Linked DNA regions of Danio rerio. The protein of the gene in region 1 interacts with the protein of each later gene in a biochemical or structural test. Links are inferred from orthologs where the notes say so. Each region holds a gene or a part of one and is shown in the gene's direction. Other genes may lie near its edges.

Region 1 (4,199 bases):
ACACACAACACGTCCAACCTTGAGGCGGATGGGCTACAGCAGCAGAAGACCACACCAGGTGCCGCTCCTGTCAGCTAAGAACAGGAAACTGAGGCTACAATTCACACAGGCTCACCAAAACTGGACAATAGAAGATTGGAGAAACGTTGCCTGCTCTGATGAGTTCTAAAGTTATATCCTTTCAGTGGTTTGTTATGCAGTGACATGCAGTCAAATATTTCGCCAAACAGTCCTTAGGGATGCGGTAAAACGCAGTCAGATATTTTACCGGACAGATCCGCCACTTTTGGCGCGCATAAACAATCATAAAGCTCTCGTGCTGCAGGAATGAGGAGGTCTGCTGAAGGCGCGCAGCTGTCGTGCAGTGAGAGATTTGTGTCTTTAATAAACTACGGCAGTTTGTGATCACTGAACAGTAAGAATGATTAATAAATCCATATGAAACAACCCCTTAAAAGTCACGTGTCTCTTTCAGTTTCGGGCTTTGGCGCGTTTTGCACTGAGCGTCTCTCTCTCTCTCTCTCTCTCTCTCTCTCTCTCTTTCTCACTCACTCACTCACTCACTCACGCGGGCATGCACTGTGGTCTCATGAGGAAACGCTGATTTTTGATATAGTGTTTTCCTTGCTCCCGAATACAAATAATATTTCAAGTATTTGTTCGAATCAAGTATTCGTAAAAACACGCTATTCGTGCCTTTCCGAATACCGTATTCGGGTTCGGCTCCACCCTTAATACATACGTATATATACATATACATATATATATGTATATATACGTATGTATGTATATATATATAAATATACATATATATATGTATATGTATATATGTATTTGTGTGTGTGTGTGTATATATATATATATATATATATATATATATATATATATATATATATATATATATATATATATATATATATATATATATATATACTTTTGTACCTTTAGGGTAATCTATGAGATAAACTATTTAAACATTTTAGGTAATAATATATAGGCATATGTCATTTAAAGTTATCTTGTCATTTTAATCACAGCTCACAAAAGCAACTGAATCCGATTCTCTTAAACCCCCTCTGAGCATAACTAAAACCTTCAGCTTTAGCTTTAGTACTCTAAATCCTTACCAATTAGACCTCCTTACTACTAACAAAGACATTAATATTTTTAAGATCCTTCTGAGTATGACAGATGTTTCTCAAAACACACAAACTCCCTTCTTCTCCCGCCTTCAGTAGTGTGTGAAATGTGAATGAAGCGAGGCGGGGCGTATTTATCATGTCACATCTGTAACCACGCCCTCCCTCAGTGACGTCAGAGGTTTGGTTTGTACTTGCGACGTGCAGAACGCAGAGCAACACAGCCACGCGCTTGTAGAGGAGAGCGCAGCGGGATGGAGCGCGCGCGCTGCACGGTGTCGATCCCGACCCCTGTGGTTTATTTAACGGGAATATCTTACCGTGATGAACGGACGCGGTTGTTCGTTCGTATATGTTGATGCTGACGCGTTGTGCGTGAAAGTTGACCGGTGGAAGCACCGGATTTAAAGGGTCGGTGACATGGAGAAGTGCCCGACAGTTCTGGATCCCGACGGGGATAAGCAGTACTGCGAGCTGTGTGGGAAGATGGAAAACCTGCTAAAATGCGGTAGGTGCAGGATCTCATTTTACTGCAGCAAAGAGCATCAAAAGGAGCACTGGAAAAAGCACAAACTCACCTGCAGAGAGGCTGACAAACACAACACTGTGCCCCAAACCCAACAACAGCACCCCAAAACTGCCCATCCAGAGAAAAACAACCTGATCTGCAGCTCAGAAGCTGATCTGAAAGCCAAACCCCACACACAGAAGCTGGCCACCGATTATATAATCCCATGTATGAACAAGCATGGCATCTGTGTGGTGGACAACTTTCTGGGGGAAGACATGGGACTGTCCATTTTGGAGGATGTGAAGGCTCTTCATCAGACGGGTAAATTCACTGACGGTCAGCTGGTCAGTCAGAAAAGTGACTCTTCGAAGGACATACGGGGGGATAAAATCACCTGGATTGAGGGGAAGGAGCCTGGATGCGAGAAAATCTGCTTCTTGATGAGCCGCATGGATGACCTGGTCAGGAATTGCAATGGGAAACTGGGAAACTACATAATTAATGGAAGGACTAAAGTAAGTATCTGTCTGTCAACTGTGTGCATGCTGTATTTTAGGGTTATGGTGATGTCAAATGTGCATGTTTTAGAGAATTGATGAAGCTTTTCATGTACAGTATTATCACAATAGGTGAATAATAATAAGTGATGAACAGGTATGATAAAAAAAAACGGTTTATCAAATGTTCAGAGTAAACAAATGTTTCAACCTAATTAAATGTAATTGAATTTTAAAATTTTAGTTAGCATATTAAAATCGGAAAAGTCACATTCATTACAGTTACTAAGTTAATATTAGGTGCCATAGTTAATATATGAAATAATTTTTCAGCACTCTTCAGAATAACTTGCTTTGTGTTCAACAGATGAAAGAAACTCATAAAAGTTTACAACCACTTGAGTCTGAATAAATGATGAGGACAATTTCATTTTCAACTGGCAACCAAAATTGTCAGTAAGTTATTGTAAATTTATTTTGCAACCAAACCTGCAACCAAAAATTTCAGTACATTACTATAAATTTATTTTGCAACCAATCTGGCAAAAAAAAAAAAAAAAAAAAAAAATTGTCAGTAAGTTACAGTAAAGTTTTAAGTTACAATAAGTTACTATAAATGTATTTTGCAACTGGCAACCAAATTTGTCAGAAAGTTACCATAAATGTATTTTGCAACCAAACTGGCAACCAAAATTGCCAGTAAGTTATTGTAAATGTATTTTGCAACCAAAATTACCAACAAGTTACTGTAAGTGTATTTTATAACCAAACTGGCAACCAAAATTGTCAATACCTTACTGTAAATGTATTTTGCAACCAAACTGCCACCAAAATTGTCAGTAAGTTACAGAAAAGCTTTAAGTTACAATAATTTACTGTAAAGGTATTTTGCAACCAATCTGGCAACAAAAATTGTCAGCAAGTTACAGTAAAGTTTTGAGTTACAGTAAGTTACTGTAAATGTATTTTGCAACCAATCTGGTAAAAAAAAATTGTCAGCAAGTGACAGTAAAGTTTTGTTACAATCAGTTACTGTAAAGGTATTTTGCAACCAAAAATTTCAGTAAGTTAATATAAATGTATTTTGTAACCAAACTGGCAACCAAAATTGTCAGTAAGTTACAGTAAAGCTTAAAGTTACAATAATTTACTGTAAATGTATTTTGCAACCAATCTGGCAACCAAAATTGTCAGTAAGTTATTGTAAATTTATTTTGCAACCAAAATTACCAGCAAGTTACTGTAAGTGTATTTTGTAACCAAACTGGCAACCAAAATTGTCAATAAGTTACTGTAAATGTATTTTGCAACCAAACTGGCAACCAAATTTGTCAGTAAGGTACAGTAAAGCTTTAAGTTACAATAACTTACAGTAAATGTATTTTGCAACCAATCTGGCAACAGAAATTGTCAGCAAGTTACAGTAAAGTTTTGAGTTACAATCAGTTACTGTAAATGTATTTTGCAACCAAAAATTTCAGTAAGTTAATATAAATTATTTTTGCAACCAAACTGGCAACCAAAAATATCAGTAAGTTACAGTAAAGTTTTAAGTTACAATAAGTTATTGTAAATGTATTTTGCAACTGGCAACCAAAATTGTCAGTAAGTTACCATAAATCTATTTTGCAACCAATCTGGCAACCAAAATTGCCAGCAAGTTTTGCAGTACTTTTTAGTGTAGTGTTTTGGATTTAATTGTATTTTGAATGCAGTTACTCATCATTTATTCAGACTCAAGTGGTTGTAAACGTTTATGAGTTTCTTTTATCTGTTGAACACAAAACAAAATATTCTGAAGAGTGCTGAAAAAAAGCACCCTTTAACTTCCATTGTAAGAACACAAATAGTATAAACACTGGGTGAACTGACCCTTTAAGTAACATGTAGAGTTGAAGGAGATTATTTTCTAGACATAATAGTTTAATAACTCATTTCTAATAACTGATTTCTTTTATCTTTGTCATGATGACAGTAAATAATATTTGACTAGATATTGTTCAAGATACTAGTATTCAGTTTAAAGTGACATTTAAAGGCTTAACTAGGTTA
Region 2 (3,658 bases), on another chromosome or scaffold:
ACGGGGAGAACATGCAAACTCCACACAGAAATGCCAACTGACCCAGTCGAAGCTCGAACAAGCGACCTTCTTGCTGTGAGGCGTACGTGCTACCCACTGCGTCATCTGGTTTGTAATAATGATTTATTATTTTATAATGTAATATAAAGTAGTTTTGTAAGATTCTAAATTTAACTTTATATTATACTGATTTATAAAAACACAAGCCAATTAAATAACCCCATTTTATTAACATTAAAATTGTATTGCCTGTGATTGAGAGGCGTCATTTTACAGTGTTGCCATGACAGCGCAGTGGCACTATTGCAAGCAGCAGGAGGAGCATGCAAAGAGAAATAAGCGTGTACATTGTGGCATATAAGGCTGTTTTGAACTTTGACCATGGTGTATGCGTAGTTGATGGAGCACTCCGCTGTTCTTGGGCTTTCAACAGTGCAGCAACAAACCGCCCTTGTCTGATGCAAGCCATTGAAATGAATGGGTTTCAAAGTGCAGCATGGCATATTTTGCGGCTCATATTTTAAGCTGCTTTTCTCTCTCAGTGTTTATTTTAATGCCCAGCCCTACTCCTTAATACGTTGCCCATGTTGTTTATATCAAATTATTTTATACTATAAACTATACTAAATTATACCCACTATATTATAGGTATTGAAAATGTGTATCTAGTTGACTAATGAAGTTCTGAGATGTGCAGTTATTTTCAGATAAACTCACAGCTAAAGTAGTTCCAGGCAGGTTTTGACCACAATACGGTCCCATATCACTACTCTGAACGATTTCAGTTATCTAACAATTTTTATTAATCTCTAAAGTCTCTATATTTAAAACAAAACAGAAGCCATTAGATTAGAAATGTAAGAAACTAGTCCTAAACACAGGAGAATTGTGAGGTCAAAACCTTACAGATGTTTTAATATGCCACATCGTCTTTAGGTGTGTTTCAACTGTAGTAGGCAAAATAATTAACATTCATGGAATCATTATGAGGGCGGCACGGTGGCTCAGTGGTTAGCACTGTCGCCTCACAGCAAGAAGGTTGCTGGTTCGAGTCCCCGCTGGGCTAGTTGTCATTCCTGTGTGGAGTTTGCATGTTCTCCCCGTGTTTGCACAGTCATTTGGTAAGCAAAATTGGCCATTCGGAGTGTGTGTGAATGTATGGGTGTTTCCCAGTGCTGGGTTGCAGCTGGAAGGGCATCCTCTGCGTAAAACATATACTGGAATAGTTGTCGGTTCATTCTGCTGTGTTGACCCCTGATAAATAAGGCACTAAGCCAAAGGAAAATGAAAAAAGGAATGAATTATTATTGTGACCACCTTGGATGTGCATTATAGTCTAATAATTCAGCTTGCTGTCAATTATTGGCTAGATAATTTATTGGTCACATCTGCAATCATATGCTAATCTTTTTTTTTACCCAGTGGATATCAGTCAAGAAGAAGAAGAGGAACTTTTGGACATGAAGGTGAAGTGTCTGAACAATATGGCGGCTGCTCAGCTTAAGCTTGACCACTATGAAGCCGCACTGCGCTCCTGCGTCTCTGTTCTGGCGCACCAGCCGGACAATGTCAAAGCCCTGTTCCGCAAAGGCAAGGTTAGTTTCTTGGGTTCAGATGAGGATCGGTTTCACTCACTCTCATTAAATAGTAATGCCTTCCTGAGTTTGGACACAAAAATGCAGGTTGGTCGGTCATTCAGTGGCATTTAGGTTTCCGGCCACAGCAGAGGAAGTTTAGCACTGACTGGCATGTCTTGAGATTAAAAGGTGCTGATGTGTGTTTTTGTGTGTTTGTGTGTTTGTGTGTTTGTGTGTTTGTGTTTGTGTGTGTGTGTGTGTGTGTGTGTGTGTGTGTGTGTGTGTGTGTGTGTGTGTGTGTGTGTGTGTGTGTGTGTGTGTGTGTGTGTGTGTGTGTGTGTGTGTGTAGGTCCTGGCTCTGCAGGGAGAGTTTGCTGAAGCCATTAAAACACTGAAAATGGCTTTGAAGTTGGAGCCAAGTAATAAGGTAACAGAAGTGACAAAATTATTTGATTTAGTTTTTATCTATAATATATATAGTTTAATCTTATTTTATTTATATTATTATTATATTTTTGTTTGATCTCATTTTAATTTTTTAAATGTATACCTTATTTTTATTTACGTTTATATCTTCATCTCACATCTTATTTTACTTGATTTGTTTTACAGATTTTTCTCTATCCTATATGTGTTTTTCTTGTTATTAGTTTTATATTTATTTATTTTTGAGATCTTAATTAATCTTTTATTTTAGATCTTTAATCTTATTGTCTTTTATCTCAATTTATTTAACATATTTTAATCTTCCTCTGGTTTAAGTTCTATATATATTATTTATTTTTGTATGTCATCTTCTTTTATATTTGTATCTTTACCTAATTTATCCAGTATTTTAATGTGTTTGTCTTTTACTTTGTACCACTTTTGTTATCAAAGTTGTATTTCATTGTTTTTTTGTTATTGTTATTATTTTTATGTCTTTAATTGTTTATTTTATTTAATTCTATCTTCGTCTTCTTTCTATTTTGTCTCATTTCCTTTCTAAAATATTATTTCTTTATTTGATCTTATTTTACTTATGTGCTGTTGGGGATGTTTTCATCCGCTCTGGGGTAATTTTGAGTCTTAATTTGACAACTTTTTTGTGTTTCAGCGAGCAGAATGATTTTTTTTTTACATCTTATTTTGTCACATAATGACAAAATGCCTTGGAATTTTTAGTGAACTCAATAAAACACTATGGGCAAATTGACTATCCTTTTGTTATGTTTGGGATGAAAATATCCACTAAATTTTACAGCTGTAAAAATTAATAAAAAAGTTTTTTTTTTTTTTATTCTGTTGCATAAATCTGTTAATCCACCTCAGCCCTGAACAAAAGTACTAAATTGCTTAGACCATTACAAGATTCTCTTTAGTTGACAAATTCACAAATGATCTCACTGATTTGGTGAAGAAAACACACAAAATTACGTATTTTCAAAGTAAAAAGTAATAATCGTGGACTGGATTTTTTAAAAATTTTATCACATGTAAAACAACATTGGGAATGTGAAACAGCATTGACTTTGATGCATTGTTTTTAAATGATTTTCCATTTTTTCTCCCTAATTTACTGTTGGTGGCTGTTTTTGCCCCATTGACTTCCATTATAACCACTTTTTTTTATTGCAAAACCGTGACACCATATAATCATGCATTTTTGATTGTTGGTGGTTTTCCCAGTTGGGAAGACATAAAATTAGCATTTTTACTGTTGATCATCAGTTGGCACCATTAACCCTTTAGATAGGCCTGTGTGAACAACAGCTTAGTTTCTGGACTTTGTATGGAGTATAACAGCAAAATAAAGTGTGTGTATGTGTATGGGAGTGGCATTTGCGCACTTACCATACCTCCAGTTTTTTCTGGGACTTTCTCGTATTTAAAGTTCTATCCCACTATCATCCTGTAAAGGTATTTTCCCATATTCTTTTCCCATATATTTTCAGTCTTTCTCTGAAGGGTGGCAATAAACATTAAAAATGGCAGGATTCCCTTTCCTTTTCATTACAGGTCGCCCCTCCTATGCAATCCACAAAACGTCATATAGCGGTGCGTGACTGTCAGCAGATGCGCTTCATAGTAAGCAATAGACT

What was found. The genes of interacting proteins can lie anywhere in the genome.
Region 2: the proteins of egln1a (region 1) and fkbp8 form a complex in vitro, tested with the Homo sapiens proteins (2 studies listed by BioGRID, with this or other methods). The link is inferred for Danio rerio from reciprocal best matches to the Homo sapiens genes EGLN1 and FKBP8.

Annotation. Positions count from the first base shown.
Region 1 is NC_133188.1:52,997,009-53,001,207, forward strand, and holds the start of egln1a (egl nine homolog 1), read left to right. Parts: upstream 1-1,353; 5' UTR 1,354-1,559; coding exon 1,560-2,165; intron 2,166-4,199. UniProt on the Homo sapiens protein: Cellular oxygen sensor that catalyzes, under normoxic conditions, the post-translational formation of 4-hydroxyproline in hypoxia-inducible factor (HIF) alpha proteins.
Region 2 is NC_133197.1:20,746,038-20,749,695, reverse strand, and holds part of fkbp8 (peptidyl-prolyl cis-trans isomerase FKBP8), read left to right. Parts: intron 1-1,422; coding exon 1,423-1,595; intron 1,596-1,926; coding exon 1,927-2,004; intron 2,005-3,658. UniProt on the Homo sapiens protein: Constitutively inactive PPiase, which becomes active when bound to calmodulin and calcium. Seems to act as a chaperone for BCL2, targets it to the mitochondria and modulates its phosphorylation state.